Linked DNA regions of Saccharomyces cerevisiae S288C. The gene in region 1 interacts genetically with each later gene. Each region holds a gene or a part of one and is shown in the gene's direction. Other genes may lie near its edges.

What was found. A genetic interaction does not mean that the proteins touch.
Region 2: mutations in MUP3 (region 1) and UBP12 together harm fitness more than expected from each alone (negative genetic interaction), as found in Saccharomyces cerevisiae (one large-scale study listed by BioGRID).

The regions. Positions count from the first base shown.
Region 1 is NC_001140.6:22,580-30,082, forward strand, and holds MUP3 (Mup3p), read left to right. Parts: upstream 1-3,661; coding exon 3,662-5,302; downstream 5,303-7,503. Other genes in the region: EFM1 (protein-lysine N-methyltransferase), read left to right, coding at 1-961; CBP2 (Cbp2p), read right to left, coding at 1,038-2,930; YHL037C (uncharacterized protein), read right to left, coding at 3,199-3,600; putative ATP-binding cassette multidrug transporter VMR1, read right to left, coding at 5,399-7,503. UniProt on the Saccharomyces cerevisiae protein: Very low affinity permease for methionine.
Region 2 is NC_001142.9:60,429-69,794, forward strand, and holds UBP12 (putative ubiquitin-specific protease UBP12), read left to right. Parts: upstream 1-3,376; coding exon 3,377-7,141; downstream 7,142-9,366. Other genes in the region: PHO90 (SPX domain-containing inorganic phosphate transporter), read left to right, coding at 416-3,061; fatty acid elongase ELO1, read right to left, coding at 7,422-8,354; AAA family ATPase CDC6, read left to right, coding at 8,910-9,366. UniProt on the Saccharomyces cerevisiae protein: Ubiquitin carboxyl-terminal hydrolase that recognizes ubiquitin chains that stabilize FZO1 and promote mitochondrial fusion. UBP12 deubiquitylates FZO1 only after oligomerization.

The DNA.
Region 1 (7,503 bases):
GACTACCACATTTAGTGCACAGGATGAATTGTTTAATAATTATGGTAATATTTCTAATGAAAAATGTTTGTTAAACTACGGGTTTTGGGATTCCTCGAATAAGTTTGACTTCTCTAGGTTGACTTTAAAGCTACCATCCACCTTAGTTAGCGGTTTGCCCGTGGATTTTAACAAATCAGGTAATTTTGTTACTGACGATGGAGAAACTACCATTTTACAATTTAGTTTAAAAATTTCTGAACCATTACCACCGGTTCTACTAGCGTTATTTGCCTACCTAAGTAAATTAAAGTCTGAAGAAACTCCAACCGTAAGGAGCGTATTGGAAGGTATTGATCAATTAACATCTGTAGTATCCCAGAGATTGCTGTTTTATAAGAATTTTAAAATTAAAACTTCTTCGACTCAAAAATTACGCCCTCATGTTATTAAACTAATCAAACTATACTATCAAGATAACAAAAAAATTCTGAACGCCACTACTGAGAAATTGTCCGTTTTACAAAAAAAAATATATAGCAATAATAAGGAGTTTTCTCTGTCATTCAAGACAATTTTTAAAAACGACAAAATATTTGCCAATTCTCTCTTACTGGTATTTGGTGCTATAAATTACGAAGATTTGATCACAAAAGACTGTCTTAATGACGCATTGTTGCTCTGGATAGTCAAATTAATCAACGATAAAAGTAATAATCAGGGAGGTTTCATTAAACAAACCTTCAAAGAAGTTAGTGATTCAATTGTCATTGAAAAAGAAGATGTTATGGAGTTTTTGCCGTTCTATAAAAAATACTTCCCTAATTTATCGGAGAGAATTCCAGAAATTTATAGTGTCGGTGATTGGGGCATAAGACAGTTCATTGTGGCAGATACTGCGATTGATAGATTGGTTTGGATCAGGAAATCAAATAAAGAGCCTATATTTCTAATGAAGAAGGCATACGACTTACAGATTTAGCTTTGATCTGTAGCCTAAGTATAAAATTCTACGTATGTATATATTTACATGCAATTTTTTCTTTTTCCAATTCATGTTAATGTTCTTCATCATTTGATAATAGGCCAATGATATTATCTACTATCTTCTCCTTTTGAGGAGAAGCTGCTTTCACTTCCTCGTTGCTTTTCTCTTCGTATAAATACATGAATTTCGACTTGTCCAGCATTTTTTTATCAATACAATGCATGTGCCCATGAAGTTCTACCTCCGACAAATCTTTAACAAAATATGTCGTTATTTGTGTCATGAATTTCAGTAGGGTTTGAAATATTTCGGGTATGGCGTTCTTCTTATCCAGAATAACAATTTTGTAGTTTGCTGATAATGTTATTGGACGAAGCTGGATGGGCCTATTTACGCGGAACTTTTCGCCATATATTTCCTGTTCGAAGTATAAAAGTTGGTTGGCCAATTTCTTTAATCCGTTTGCAGATTGTAGCGATTGTTCATTCGCAAAACCAGGTTCTATTGTTGCATTTATTGACTCAGTGAAACCCACCAACTCCATTAAAGTTGGTCTTAAATCATCTTGCATAAACTTGTACAAGTTTGGCTGGAAAATTCTAATCATTTTCGATTTTGTCAGCACGGTTTGCAAAATTAATGTGATGTGTTCAAATCTTGATAAAGTCGTTTCATCATTTTGGAAAATAGAGAATTGGTTCCATTTCATTTCTGAAATTACCAGTGCGGAATATGTTTGTAGGTCATGAAGAAAAGAGTCGTATTTTGTCTTGTAGTTGATCAGAGAAGCTTGGTCCGTGGGTATTTTCATGGACTCGGTCTCTTGATATTGCTTCCATATATATGAGTCCCAAACATTCCAACTAAATTGAAAGGAAGGCGCATTATCGTTACCAGAGAAGGAACGGATGCTTTTCTTGTTACGTTGTAAAATGGTGAATATATTGTAGAGAATGAAATTTTTGCAAAATTCAGCCCTCAATTGCCGGATGGAGAAGTCGTTTGATAATATTGTAGCTCTTAAAATGTCTCCAGGGCACGTTCTGTCTTTGTTTGATTGTTTGCTCCACAATGTCTTATGGCTAACCGATCTTTCTAAAAGTTGCTTCAAAGTGACGACATTACCACCAGCGATTCGAGTTGTGGCACTGTTTGCATCCAGATAGAATGGTTTACCCTCTTCGTTCGCCAGTATCCGACCAGCGTTAGCCTTCTCAATGCGCTTTCGTTCATTCAAGGTGCAAAGTGGCGAAGCTATCTTGGTCTTCAATTTGTCTACCTCAGTAACGAAAAATTCTCTATGTTTATCTACAAAGTAAGGGAAAATACCAATTCCATCGAATTCCCCAATCATCGCCTCATCGGAAACCTGGAAAAGAGGCAAGGGCTTTGCATTAGCTGGGTTTACAAACATGGGTACCTCACCATTATTTTGTTCCAAGAGTCTATCGTAAGTGCTCTTCTTAACCCCGATTCCCCGACAAAAGTTTGAAAATATCGACTTAGGCCAAATTACACGCTGCAGTTTCAACTTATCATCTTTGCATCGTACCCTTATTAATTGTTGCCACTCGAAAGATGGCTTGAAGTCCTCATCCATTTCGCTGAACAACTTCTCGTAGAGACTTAAGGGGTGGTCAAACATAGGCGCAATCCGTTCCCAGTGTTGGATCCTCTTCTTCGAGGATTTTTGAGTTAGATCTGTTCTAACAATCTTGAATGCGTGTTCGCGAGGGGCGTTTATATCACGTAATAGCAGTTTTTGCAAGTCCGTGAGTGAAATATTATACAGTACTCCTTCAAGATCACAATATTCATAAGATAAGTTTGTCTTCTTAAACGCTTGCTTACAGCGAGGGAACACCTGATGTGTGATATTCTCCATGTTGAACTTATACCTGTAACGAGAGGAACTGCCCTGTCTCCTCAATGAGACCATGAACAATGTTTGCCAATTCACCATTTTGGTCACTCTGTCTCAAACCTTTCCTTCAGCGCAGCCTTACTCCTTCAAGAGAAGCCTTCATTGTCCATTCACTTAAGCATAATTTGTCATCTTCAATGCAATTGAACTTTCACTAAATACACCCATACACACCAATCTTGGATTCTACTCGGCGGCAATCTTCACTCTTTCCTTTGTTTTATCATTTTCTATTCCACCTTTAGTTCCCCAACTTCACCTCTTATCGAACTATCAACACATTTGACTATCATTTTGGCAAATTCACTCACGTGAGGGCGTGTGCTAACCATGCAAGGGTTATGGCATGCGCATCCATGTGGCGTTTCCTACTTTTATTTTTACATAATATATAAGATAATTGCACATGCAAACAGTCAATCTTTTTCCTGCAATTGATGTGGAGACCAAAAGGTTTGCATCTCCTAGTACCACGATTTTTTGGTGCAAAAGTGTTGATAATGTAATTCAGGTAGAAAAGGTAGAAGTTTCCTCTAGTATGTTCACAGATTGGATTAGAAAAAAAGATCACGCGACTCTTGCCGGAAAAAACTGTGGCGTCGCTGCATATATATGACAAATCAATCATATAGATTAGAGGCCTGCCTGAGTCAAGGGGCAAAAACAATACACATATAAAGACCTGGATGCTTATCGATGATCTGTACATTCTGTTTGTAGTCTAAGTTGCTGAGGGCAACGTAGACGTACAGTGCTCAAAATAAGTAAAAATGGAACCGCTGCTTTTTAATAGTGGGAAAGCAAATCCCTCTCAAGATGTTTTCATAGATGTGGAAGTTGGTGATATTACCACAAAATATGGTTCCACAAATACTGGATCATTCAGTTCGATGGATACTGTGGAAGCGCAGGCGATAAAGGCAGAGACGGCAAGATTCATGGAAGTTCCACAGGGAAGACATTTAGGTGTGTTCTCCACGGTTGTGTTATTTGTTTCGAGGATAATGGGGTCAGGTATATTTGCAGTACCCAGTGTGATTTTACTGAATACAGGTGGTAATAAGCTGATATATTTTGCGATCTGGGTTTTTAGCGCTGCGATCGCTTTTGCAGGATTGTATCTTTTTCTAGAATTTGGTTCCTGGATACCGAAATCAGGTGGACGTAAAAACTTCCTCGAACGGAGTTTTGAAAGACCCAGACTATTAATTAGTGTGGTGTTTTCGTGTTACAGTGTTTTAACTGGCTATGCATTGACGGGATCTATCGTCTTCGGTAAATACGTGTTGAGCGCATTTGGAGTCACGGATGATTCGTGGTCCAAGTACGTCAGCATATCATTTATAATATTTGCCGTTCTCATTCACGGTGTCTCTGTAAGGCACGGAGTGTTTATACAGAACGCACTTGGTGGTTTGAAGTTGATCATGATTGTCTTGATGTGCTTTGCCGGGCTATACACGCTTTTCTTTTATAAAAGCACCGGTCAAGTTGCCTGGGACCTCCCAGTAACCCAAGTTGAGAAAGATTCTCTCCTGTCGGTGTCCTCTATTGCTACTGCCTTTATCAGCTCATTCTTTTGTTTTTCTGGATGGGATACAGTTCACACAGTTACATCAGAAATTAAGAATCCCGTTAAGACGTTGAAGGTGTCAGGTCCCTTATCGTTGATAATTTGTTTTGTCTGCTACACAATGATGAATGTGGCATACTTGAAAGTTTTGACATATGAGGAAATTGTTAGTGCAGGCCCCCTGGTTGGTTCCGTGTTGTTTACCAAACTTTTCGGACCCAGAGTTGGTGGCAAATTCATTGCTTTTTCTATCGCCATTTCTGCAGCATCTAATATTCTGGTTGTCATTTACAGTATATCAAGAGTTAACCAGGAAATATTCAAAGAAGGTTATTTACCATTCAGTATTCATATGTCCAAAAATTGGCCATTTGATGCACCTCTACCATCTATTTCTTTATGTGGCTTTATAACCATTGCTTGGATATTGATTTTACCCAAAGAGGGCGAATCCTTCAATTATCTGGTATCGATGGATGGTTATGGTAATCAGTTTTTCTTATTATTGGTCGCTATTGGGCTCTTTATTTGGAGGTTCAAACACAAGAACGAAGTCCCAGAGATTCGTGCATCTACTTTTGGAGTATTAGCCATTATTACATTATCATTATACATGTTGATGGCACCATTCTTTGCCGACCCTAGCCTAAACAGAGTTGGGTTCCTGCCGCCCTACCAAATCATGTCATTACTGGTAATAGTTGCATGCTTCTTTTTCTGGTTAGTTAAATTCGTTTTACTACCTAAATTCTTCCATTATAAACTTTTACCCAAAATCACTTATTTGCATGATGGGCTCATTGTCACAGAATGGGTGAAAAAGCCATGTCTGTGTTAGTTTTTCCTTTTCTACATAAATATTTTATAGACTACTATTGCATTTTTAATAAATAATATTCATCCTCATCTTTGAATAAAAGAAAGAAACATTCGATTATTTCATCATCTTACTTGATTGCTTGGCTATTTGCTTCAAAAGCTCTAGGCCCCCACTGTCACGACACATACTATAAAATATACCGCGTTCATCTTTCAACAGTTCACTAGGGCGATCATATTCTTTTACCTCACCGGCATCCATCACAATTATCCTGTCGTAATCGATAACAGATCTCAAACGATGTGCAATAGTAAGAATTGTGCTTTTATTAAACTCACTTCTTATAATACCCTGAATTAAATGGTCAGAATCGTAATCAATAGAGGAAGTAGCCTCGTCCAAAAGTATTATCTTTGGCTCGCGTAACAATGATCGTGCAATAAAAAGCAATTGCCTTTCACCTTGGGACAGATTTAAGCCGCCCTCAGCTATTTCTGTGTGAAGATTTAAAAATTTATTATGAGTGCTGTTAAAGCGTTCCTCCGAGTTAAGCACTTCTTCAAATTCATGTGAAGAAATTAGATTTACTTGTGAAAGTGCTTTGAATATTTTTTTTTCATCATATTCATCATATGGATCAACATTACTTTTGATTGTACCTGCAAATAGAATAGGGTCCTGAGGGATGATAGTAATGGAACGACGTAATGTAACGAGATCAATTTTACTTATATCCTGCCCATCTATTTTGATACATCCGGTTATTGGTTCTAGTAATCTGAATAATGCCGTTATTATGGTAGATTTGCCTGCGCCAGTTCTTCCGACAATCCCAATCTTACTTTGAGGATCCACTTTGAAACTAACATTTCTTATGACAGGAGGCAAATTTGGCGCGTAACGTAAAGATAAGTTTTCAATTTCAATTTCTCCATCTTTTGGCCACGATGGTTCGTTTAGAAGTAGAATGCGGCCTTCATCATGGCCAAGATAGTTCTCTTGTTCAATGCTAGAATATTCTTTTAGTCTTTCAACAGAGTTCATGTTCATTTCAAATGTTGAGTACAGTCTAACTAACCATAAAGCACCATCTGTAAACAAAATGGCATATGTCAAAGAAATGCCGGCAAGACCCGAGTCAATATTTGCAATATTGAGCAGAATAAAAGAACCTGATGCTAAAACAATGAATGCGCCAATCATGTCGACTCTAAAAGAAAACCATTTGACAGTAACTGATAAATAAAAGAATGCTCTGTTATTTTGGTCAATTTTGTTCATATTTTCTAAAATGAATCTCCTCTCGTCGCCAAATGCACGAATTGTGCAAACGCCTACCAAGGTCTCTGAGAAATGTTGAAAAATGGGTGATTTGGTTATTGAATCTAACCTTTTCAATTCTCTACTTGCCGTTAAGTACCATTTCCCCACAAAGAAATATAAAACAAAAACGATAACGGCGACTGTCAAAAAGCGAGGAGTTATTACGGTAATGAGAAATATAATTGATGCGCATTGAATTAGGCAAAATATAGTTACTTCTAAGTATGGAATCAATTCTTGATCAACACCTTCGATGTCCTTTGAAAAGCGATTCATGATTCTACCAACCGGCGTCACGTCGAAAAATCGTATTTGGGCATGTAGAACTAGATCTAGCAGATTATTAAAGATCTTTCTGGAGGCTCGCATACCGGATAAAAACGTCATCATTGTTTTAAAACCACCTAGCATTGCCTGAATGATACCAATAAGAAAATATACGGTTAAGTAATAAAATGCATTATGTTTATTTTTCGAAGAGTCGGTCATCCCTTTTAATGGCAGCGTGTCCATCGCAAAACCTGGAGCATTTATTCGTACATTGGTATCGTTGACCCAATGTCGTATCCACCAAGACTGACTGATGAACAAAATTTGAGCTGTGATATAAAGAGCGAACAGGGCTGTTAAAGCTTTGAAGCCTCCAAAAAATTTCAGGTACCATTTATAAACATCGGGGCTTATGGCACCGTTTGATTTTTCTTCCTCTTCTATTAGCTGGCCATCATTGACAAAATTTGCATCAAAATTTATGTTCTCGGTGACAGGTTCGATTTTCTGAGAGTCATTTTTTCTGGGAGCTTTTAATCTATTAGCGTTCTTTTCATTAATGCTATCTCGAGAAGAAAGTTGAACATATTTTTCCTTAAAAAGCCCTTTGCTTTGTAATTCTGTAA
Region 2 (9,366 bases), on another chromosome or scaffold:
AAAATCAGTAGTAGCGGCAGCAGCCAAGAAAAATGGCAGCCTGGCAAGCAGCGAAGGCCATCTGTGCTGCATTTCCACACTCCTTGTATGACTGCATACGCATAAAGAGGTGCCTTGCTGTAGGCGTATATGATCCTAAGCAACAGAGAAACCACGGTTCTCTTCTCTTCTTATTTCGTTATTGTCTTCCCTTTTTACTATGGGTAAAGTCGCCCTAAAGCGGGGCGCTCACAATATCGCCGCAGCTACAGCCGTTTTTTTTTTTTTTGTTTTTTTTTGCGCTGCTTCTCGAAGAATGAATGGCTCACTGAAAAATTTTGATTCATCGATATAAAGAACACTGTTCACTTCGATGTCATCCGGCCAATAAAGTTGTTTTTAGGATAAACGAGTAAGTGGTAGCTGGTACAGGATCATGAGATTTTCACACTTCTTGAAGTACAATGCTGTCCCAGAATGGCAAAACCATTATATGGACTACAGCGAGCTGAAAAATCTTATTTACACGCTACAAACAGATGAACTTCAGGTTGGTGATAACGAAGAAGGATTTGGCGCAGGAAAGAGCTCTAACATTACAGATAGGTTCAAAAACAAGTTTTCTTTTAAAAATGCGAAGGAAGATACGTCTTCCGGTATGAACAAAGATGCAGGCATCGTTGAGGAAACCATCGAGTTGCGAGAGTTGCCTACTGCTCAGACGGTCGCTGCCAAACCTTCTCCTTTCAGAAGAATGAAGGAAAAGATATTTTACAAAAGAAGGTCGTCTTCCGCATCGTCCGTCTCCTCCACGGCCAACGAAAATCTGCAATTAGACACTTATGATACGTTTGTTGGTGATTTAACAGCTGAAAAACAGAAAGTAGATGATTTTTATAAGAGGACAGAAGCGAAGTTCTACGACAAATTTGACGCGCTGGTGAAGGACCTGAAGAAAATCGGAGTTATAGAATACGATATCGACGATGATACTCTGTTTAACGAACCGATTGCCAGCACAAATGACGAAGTTCCCCCACTAGACTTGGATGATGACGAAGACGACGACGAATTTTACGATGATCAATCTAATATTGAAGATAATACTGCTTTGCTGCATCATTCGCAGTATAACATTAAGTCTCAGAAAAAATCGCTGTTGAAGAAGTCGATCGTAAACCTATATATCGATCTTTGCCAGTTGAAGTCGTTCATCGAATTGAACCGCATTGGGTTTGCAAAAATTACAAAGAAATCAGACAAAGTTCTTCACTTGAATACAAGAACCGAACTGATCGAATCGGAGCAGTTTTTCAAAGACACATATGCATTCCAGGCAGAAACGATCGAATTGCTAAATTCCAAAATTTCCCAGCTAGTCACATTTTATGCGCGCATCACTGACCGGCCTCATAATATCTCGCATAGCAAGCAAGAGTTGAAATCCTACCTGCATGACCACATTGTTTGGGAAAGAAGTAACACTTGGAAAGACATGTTGGGACTGCTATCGCAAGCTGACGAGTTGACACCAAAGGAAACAGAATATAATGCAAATAAGCTGGTAGGCAAGTTAGATTTGGAATACTACAGATGGCCACTACCCAGACCGATAAACTTAAAATTCACTAGTATAAACAACGTTGCACTACCGAAATTATTTTTCACCAAGAAAGCATACAAGATTTACTTTATTATTCTAGTCACTGGACTCTTGTTAGGAATAAAGACCTTCAACGACGCTGCTCAGCACCGCTGCATGGCCCTTGTCGAGTGTGTCGCCTTTTTGTGGGCTAGTGAGGCCATCCCATTACACATTACAGCATTCCTTGTACCACTACTTGTAGTCCTTTTCAAAGTCCTAAAAACCTCCGACGGGGCTATAATGAGTGCTGCAAGCGCTTCATCAGAAATTTTGGCCGCCATGTGGTCTTCTACAATTATGATTCTGCTGGCAGGTTTTACTTTGGGTGAAGTACTTGCACAATATAACATCGCCAAAGTTCTTGCCTCGTGGTTGTTGGCCTTCGCTGGTTGTAAACCCAGAAACGTTCTTTTAATGGCAATGTGTGTCGTGTTCTTCCTATCAATGTGGATTTCCAATGTCGCAGCACCTGTTCTAACATATTCGTTGTTATCTCCCCTATTGGATGCCATGGATGCAGATAGCCCATTTGCGCAAGCATTGGTGTTAGGTGTAGCGTTGGCTGCAAATATCGGTGGTATGTCTTCACCAATCTCTTCACCTCAAAACATCATTTCCATGTCGTACTTGAAACCCTATGGTATTGGCTGGGGCCAATTCTTTGCTGTTGCATTGCCATCTGGTATCCTGGCCATGCTTTTGGTTTGGATTTTATTGTTCACTACTTTCAAGATGAATAAGACCAAATTGGAAAAATTTAAGCCTATTAAGACGAAATTCACAGTTAAGCAGTATTATATCATTACTGTCACTGTGGCCACTATTTTGTTGTGGTGTGTGGAAAGCCAGATTGAAGGTGCTTTTGGGTCATCAGGTCAAATTGCAATCATTCCCATCGTTTTGTTTTTTGGTACCGGATTACTATCAACACAAGATTTAAATGCCTTTCCGTGGTCAATCGTTATTTTGGCAATGGGAGGTATTGCTTTGGGGAAGGCCGTCTCATCCTCGGGTTTGCTATCAACCATTGCAAAAGCATTACAAAAGAAAATTGAGAATGATGGTGTTTTTGCCATTCTATGTATTTTCGGTATCCTGATGTTGGTTGTGGGTACTTTCGTCTCGCATACAGTATCCGCTATTATCATCATTCCCTTGGTGCAAGAAGTTGGTGACAAGCTTGGCAACCCCAAAGCTGCTCCTATCCTTGTTTTCGGTTGTGCATTATTGTCATCCTGTGGTATGGGACTAGCTTCTTCGGGGTTCCCCAATGTCACTGCCATCTCTAAAGTAGATAGAAAGGGCGATCGCTATTTAAGTGTCATGACTTTCTTAACGAGAGGTGTTCCAGCTTCTATTTTGGCTTTCCTATGTGTCATTACTCTAGGTTATGGTATCATGGCATCTGTTGTCAAGGGTAACGCAACCTCTGCGTAAGAGATACGTCTACGATAGCATGTAACAGCGTATATATAATCTATATGTATTCGATTAATCCAACACTTCTGTTGTGTAGTCTAATGTTCGAAAAAAAGGTACGCTTCCCTGTTATAATCAGGTATATTTCGTTATTCTTATAAGCTAAAAGATTAAAAATTTTTCCACTTTCCTTGAAATTTGGTCGGTTCGTGGAAAAATATTATTACGTATTGAAGAAGTGCATGAAGATAAAAGATGGGATTACTGGAAAAATAAAGGGAGGAAAATCCTGCAGAACGTTGTTGTTTCAATCGAAGGTTTCTTCATTCGAAAATGGGTTCTTCAGATGTTTCAAGTCGTGAATGTTCATTGGTTTATAATGAAGATCCCGATTTCACCGATGGCACAACACCATGTGATCGGTTGGGAGTGGACTTGATGAATGTTCTAGATGACAAGGATGAAATAAAGCAAGAGTCTGTCCCAGTCTCAGATCGTGAAATTGAGGATACGGAATCCGATGCTTCCGCTGTTTCTTCATTTGCTAGCGCTAATGAGTTAATAGCTGAGCCACACGCTGCAAGTGAAACTAATCTTGGAACTAATGGTCAAGATGGAAGAAATGTCTTAGAACAACAAAGAGACGTGGTTGCTAGACTAATAGAAGAAAACAAGGAAACGCAAAAAGAGGGTGATAAAGTCTGTATTGTCCCCAAGGTTTGGTACGATAAATTTTTCGACCCCGATGTTACCGATCCTGAAGATATAGGCCCTATTAATACACGCATGATTTGCAGAGACTTTGAAAATTTTGTGCTTGAGGATTACAATAGATGTCCGTATCTGTCTATTGCAGAGCCTGTTTTCAATTTTCTATCAGAAATTTACGGCATGACAAGTGGCTCTTACCCAGTGGTAACTAATTTGGTTATCAACCAAACCACAGGGGAGTTAGAGACAGAATACAATAAATGGTTTTTCAGACTACATTACCTGACCGAAAAACAAGACGGGAGGAAAAGGAGGCATGGCCAGGACGATTCAATAATGTACCTCTCGATGTCTGCGTTGAATTTAGTACGTGATTTGGTTGAAAAGAGTATGAATCTGTTTTTTGAGAAAGCTGATCATCTAGACGTGAATGCGGTGGATTTTAAAATTTGGTTTGTGTCAGAGGGATCTGATATTGCCACAGATAGCAATGTTAGTACTTTTTTGAATTCTTCATATGAAATAACTCCGCTTCAATTTCTCGAACTACCGATAAAGAAACTACTAATACCAGACATGTTTGAAAACCGTTTAGACAAGATAACTTCAAATCCGAGTGACCTTGTCATAGAAATTAAACCTATAGAAGGGAATCACCATTGGCCTTCAAACTATTTTGCTTATAATAAACTCGAACCAGCATCAGGTACTACTGGTTTGGTCAATTTGGGAAATACATGTTACATGAATTCTGCGTTGCAATGCCTGGTACACATTCCGCAGTTGCGTGATTATTTCCTTTATGATGGTTATGAAGACGAAATCAATGAAGAAAATCCTCTTGGGTACCACGGCTATGTGGCTAGGGCATTTAGTGACTTGGTTCAGAAGTTGTTTCAAAACAGGATGAGCATAATGCAAAGAAATGCTGCTTTCCCCCCTTCAATGTTCAAATCCACTATCGGGCACTTTAATTCGATGTTTTCTGGTTATATGCAACAGGATTCTCAAGAATTTTTAGCCTTCCTGTTAGACAGTTTACATGAAGATTTGAACAGGATAATAAAGAAAGAATACACAGAAAAACCATCATTATCTCCTGGTGATGACGTGAATGATTGGAATGTAGTCAAGAAACTGGCAGACGATACTTGGGAGATGCATTTAAAGAGAAATTGTTCCGTTATAACGGATTTATTTGTCGGGATGTACAAATCAACGCTATATTGTCCCGAATGTCAAAATGTTTCTATAACGTTTGACCCGTATAATGATGTTACATTGCCGCTTCCGGTTGATACAGTGTGGGATAAAACTATAAAAATTTTTCCCATGAACTCTCCACCACTTCTTCTTGAAGTTGAGTTAAGCAAATCGTCCACTTATATGGACTTGAAGAATTATGTTGGTAAAATGTCGGGCCTAGATCCAAATACACTATTTGGCTGTGAGATTTTCAGTAATCAAATCTATGTTAACTATGAGTCAACAGAGTCGAATGCTCAATTTTTAACCTTGCAGGAATTGATCAAACCTGCTGATGACGTTATTTTTTATGAATTACCAGTAACAAATGACAATGAAGTAATTGTTCCCGTATTGAATACTAGAATTGAAAAAGGCTACAAAAATGCAATGTTATTTGGAGTCCCTTTCTTTATTACGTTAAAAGAAGATGAATTGAATAATCCAGGTGCAATAAGAATGAAATTGCAAAACAGGTTTGTCCATTTAAGTGGTGGGTATATCCCATTTCCTGAACCTGTAGGAAATCGAACCGATTTTGCTGATGCTTTTCCATTATTAGTAGAAAAATATCCAGATGTTGAATTTGAACAATATAAAGATATACTACAGTATACGTCTATTAAGGTGACTGACAAGGATAAATCCTTTTTTTCCATCAAGATTCTGTCTGTAGAAAAAGAGCAGCAATTTGCTAGTAATAACCGAACAGGGCCTAATTTCTGGACCCCTATCTCCCAGTTAAACCTTGACAAAGCTACAGATATAGACGATAAACTTGAAGATGTGGTGAAGGATATCTACAATTATTCATCCTTAGTAGATTGTGCTGAAGGGGTCCTTATGCAAGTGGATGATGAGGGAGATACCGAGGGTAGTGAAGCAAAGAATTTTTCCAAGCCCTTCCAATCGGGAGATGATGAAGAAAATAAAGAAACTGTAACAAATAATGAAAATGTAAATAATACTAATGATCGGGATGAAGATATGGAACTAACAGATGATGTTGAAGAAGATGCAAGTACAGAGCCAGAATTAACAGATAAGCCAGAGGCGTTAGATAAAATTAAGGATAGCTTGACTTCCACTCCGTTTGCGATTCTTTCTATGAATGATATTATTGTTTGTGAGTGGAGCGAATTGGGTTCAAATGAGGCATTTTCCGATGATAAAATATATAACTGGGAAAATCCAGCTACTTTGCCTAACAAAGAGTTGGAGAACGCTAAGTTGGAAAGATCTAACGCTAAGGAAAGAACCATAACCTTGGACGATTGTCTCCAATTATTTTCCAAACCAGAAATACTAGGATTAACCGATTCGTGGTACTGCCCTACATGCAAGGAACATCGTCAGGCTACCAAACAAATACAACTTTGGAATACACCAGATATTCTGCTAATTCACCTTAAAAGGTTTGAAAGTCAAAGGTCTTTTAGCGATAAAATTGATGCCACGGTTAATTTCCCCATTACAGATTTGGATCTGTCGAGGTACGTTGTCTATAAAGATGATCCCAGAGGTTTAATCTATGACCTGTATGCAGTAGATAACCACTATGGTGGTTTGGGTGGTGGGCACTATACCGCGTACGTAAAGAATTTTGCCGACAATAAATGGTACTATTTTGATGATTCTCGAGTAACTGAAACTGCGCCAGAAAATAGTATAGCTGGATCGGCTTATTTGCTATTTTACATTCGCCGTCATAAAGATGGCAATGGATTAGGCAGCTCTAAACTACAGGAAATAATCCAAAAGTCACGCCACGGATATGATGAGCGTATCAAAAAGATATACGATGAACAGATGAAGTTGTATGAATTTAATAAGACTGACGAGGAGGAAGATGTTTCTGATGATATGATAGAATGTAATGAAGATGTGCAGGCCCCTGAATATAGTAATCGTAGTTTGGAGGTTGGGCATATTGAAACTCAGGACTGCAACGACGAAGATGACAATGATGATGGTGAGAGGACAAATTCAGGTAGGAGAAAGTTAAGATTGTTGAAAAAAGTCTACAAGAATAATTCAGGCTTGGGTTCATCGAGTACGTCTGAAATATCTGAGGGATGCCCAGAAAACGAAGTCGCTGATTTGAATTTAAAAAATGGTGTGACACTAGAATCGCCAGAATAATGACATGAGTTTATATGATAGATAAAATTAATAAATTTCCACATGTATAATACTTTTCAATCTTTTTCGCCTACTATTTACTGCCTAGGCTAATAAATTATATGTTTTTGTCCTGGGCGCGACATTCCAAAAAAAAAATAAAAAAGAAGAGAAAATACTGGCTTATGAATACAAAAATTACATAAACGAAGCAAAATGATTATTTCGAATAAAACAGTCTATATATAAGTCAAATACAAGATAGGAAGAAAAACAGAAAAAAACAAAACAGAAGGACTGGTTAATTGTTTTTGTTGATCTTCTTCTTACCACTAGCACTTCCACGTTTGTAAACCTCAATATAGAAAGAGATGAACAAAAACAAGTAGGATGTAAGAATGGCTGCACCAGCAGCAATAGCCGTCATTGAACCTAAGCAATCCTCACACTGTGGAGTACAAGCATTTTTGAAATATGCAGCAACAATCTTCTGATAAAGCACGTAATAAACGACAATGAGATCAAGCATGAACTGCACAATTTGTAGTCTTGTAACCCAGGCTTTCCACCAAACACGAATTCCGCTAGCAGAAAGGAAATAATACCAATACATAAGAACGTGAACAGCTAAGTTTAAGGTGACAGGAACCCATGTAACTGCTGTGTAACCAACCAATTGATTATAGCACAGTAAAGCTGTAGCACCATGATGGTATGTATGTAGGAAAGTCAACTTTCTATGTTTCAACACCATCAAGACAGTGTCTGCGAACTCCACAAACTTTGTCATATAGTTGAGATAATATAATGTCTCCATCGGTTGCGTCCACGATTCAACATTACAAACAGCAAAATACAGCCCATGGCGATACACTATGGGTAGCATCTGTTCCACCATCAAAATCAACCATAAAAAGGAAACAGAAGTCAACATCAAGTTATGGACTTGAGAAATAAATCTCAACTTGAGAGGTTTACATGACTTTACCAGGGACCTCCCGCCAAATATAACCACATAATACATGGCAATAAAAAGCAGTACCGGACGAGGTTCACTCAAAGGCTGCTTCCCAACGGTAAACTCAAAATCCTTTGGCTGGAAGCGACCTGCAGTGGCCCACCCAACCGCACGATTGAAATAGTCCCACAAATAAATATTAAAAAAAGGCCTATCTATTGTTGGGCGAAACCTAGAGGCTTTCTCGAGGCAAAAATTTTTCCAATCACTTACCATACTTGCTTGCAAATTTAGCTCTCAAGTTCCTTAAAATTGATAAGGTATCCTACCTTAATATTCATATCAGTTAGTCTTATATACTTCTACCTCTTTTTCTGGCTTCCTTTCTTTCCCTTATGTCCTTCGGTTTACTAATCCGTAAAGCCGACGCGGGTAAGCCAAGACCCTGAGTTTAGAACTAATATTTCGTCACGTCACGTAAGTGCAAGGTAATAAAAGCAGCAGAAATATCTGTAGTTTCAACAAAATATGTCTGGCTTGCGATTTGTTGTGTTTTGAAACTAGTTGCTAGTCTGCATTCCTTTGTTTTCCCTGAATTACCCAAAGAAGAAAGCGACGCGAGGCCTCACGCGTCGGAGTTTCCAGATCAGGAAATTACCCACTTAGGAAATTGAGTTGGCTGGCAGAAAAGATATAACGCCATCTTGAAAAATAGTATTAGTTAGTCTATTTTTTCATTTATATAGTAGAGGTATATTCTCTGGAAGAACAATTTTGGAATATTCAGAACACTGCGCTGCACTATTTTCATCAATAGTACCATATACGTTCATGTCAGCTATACCAATAACTCCAACTAAGCGTATCAGAAGAAATCTATTTGACGATGCTCCAGCAACGCCTCCACGACCTTTGAAAAGAAAAAAGTTGCAGTTCACAGATGTTACACCAGAATCATCCCCAGAAAAACTGCAGTTTGGCTCACAGTCTATTTTTTTGAGGACAAAGGCACTTTTGCAGAAGTCATCTGAGCTAGTCAACTTGAATAGCAGCGATGGTGCATTGCCAGCAAGAACAGCAGAGTACGAACAAGTTATGAATTTTTTGGCGAAGGCAATTTCTGAACACAGGTCCGATTCACTGTACATCACGGGTCCGCCTGGCACTGGCAAGACTGCCCAGCTTGATATGATTATAAGACAGAAGTTCCAGTCCCTCCCATTGTCGCTCTCCACGCCACGCTCGAAGGACGTGCTGAGACATACGAATCCGAACTTGCAGAATTTGT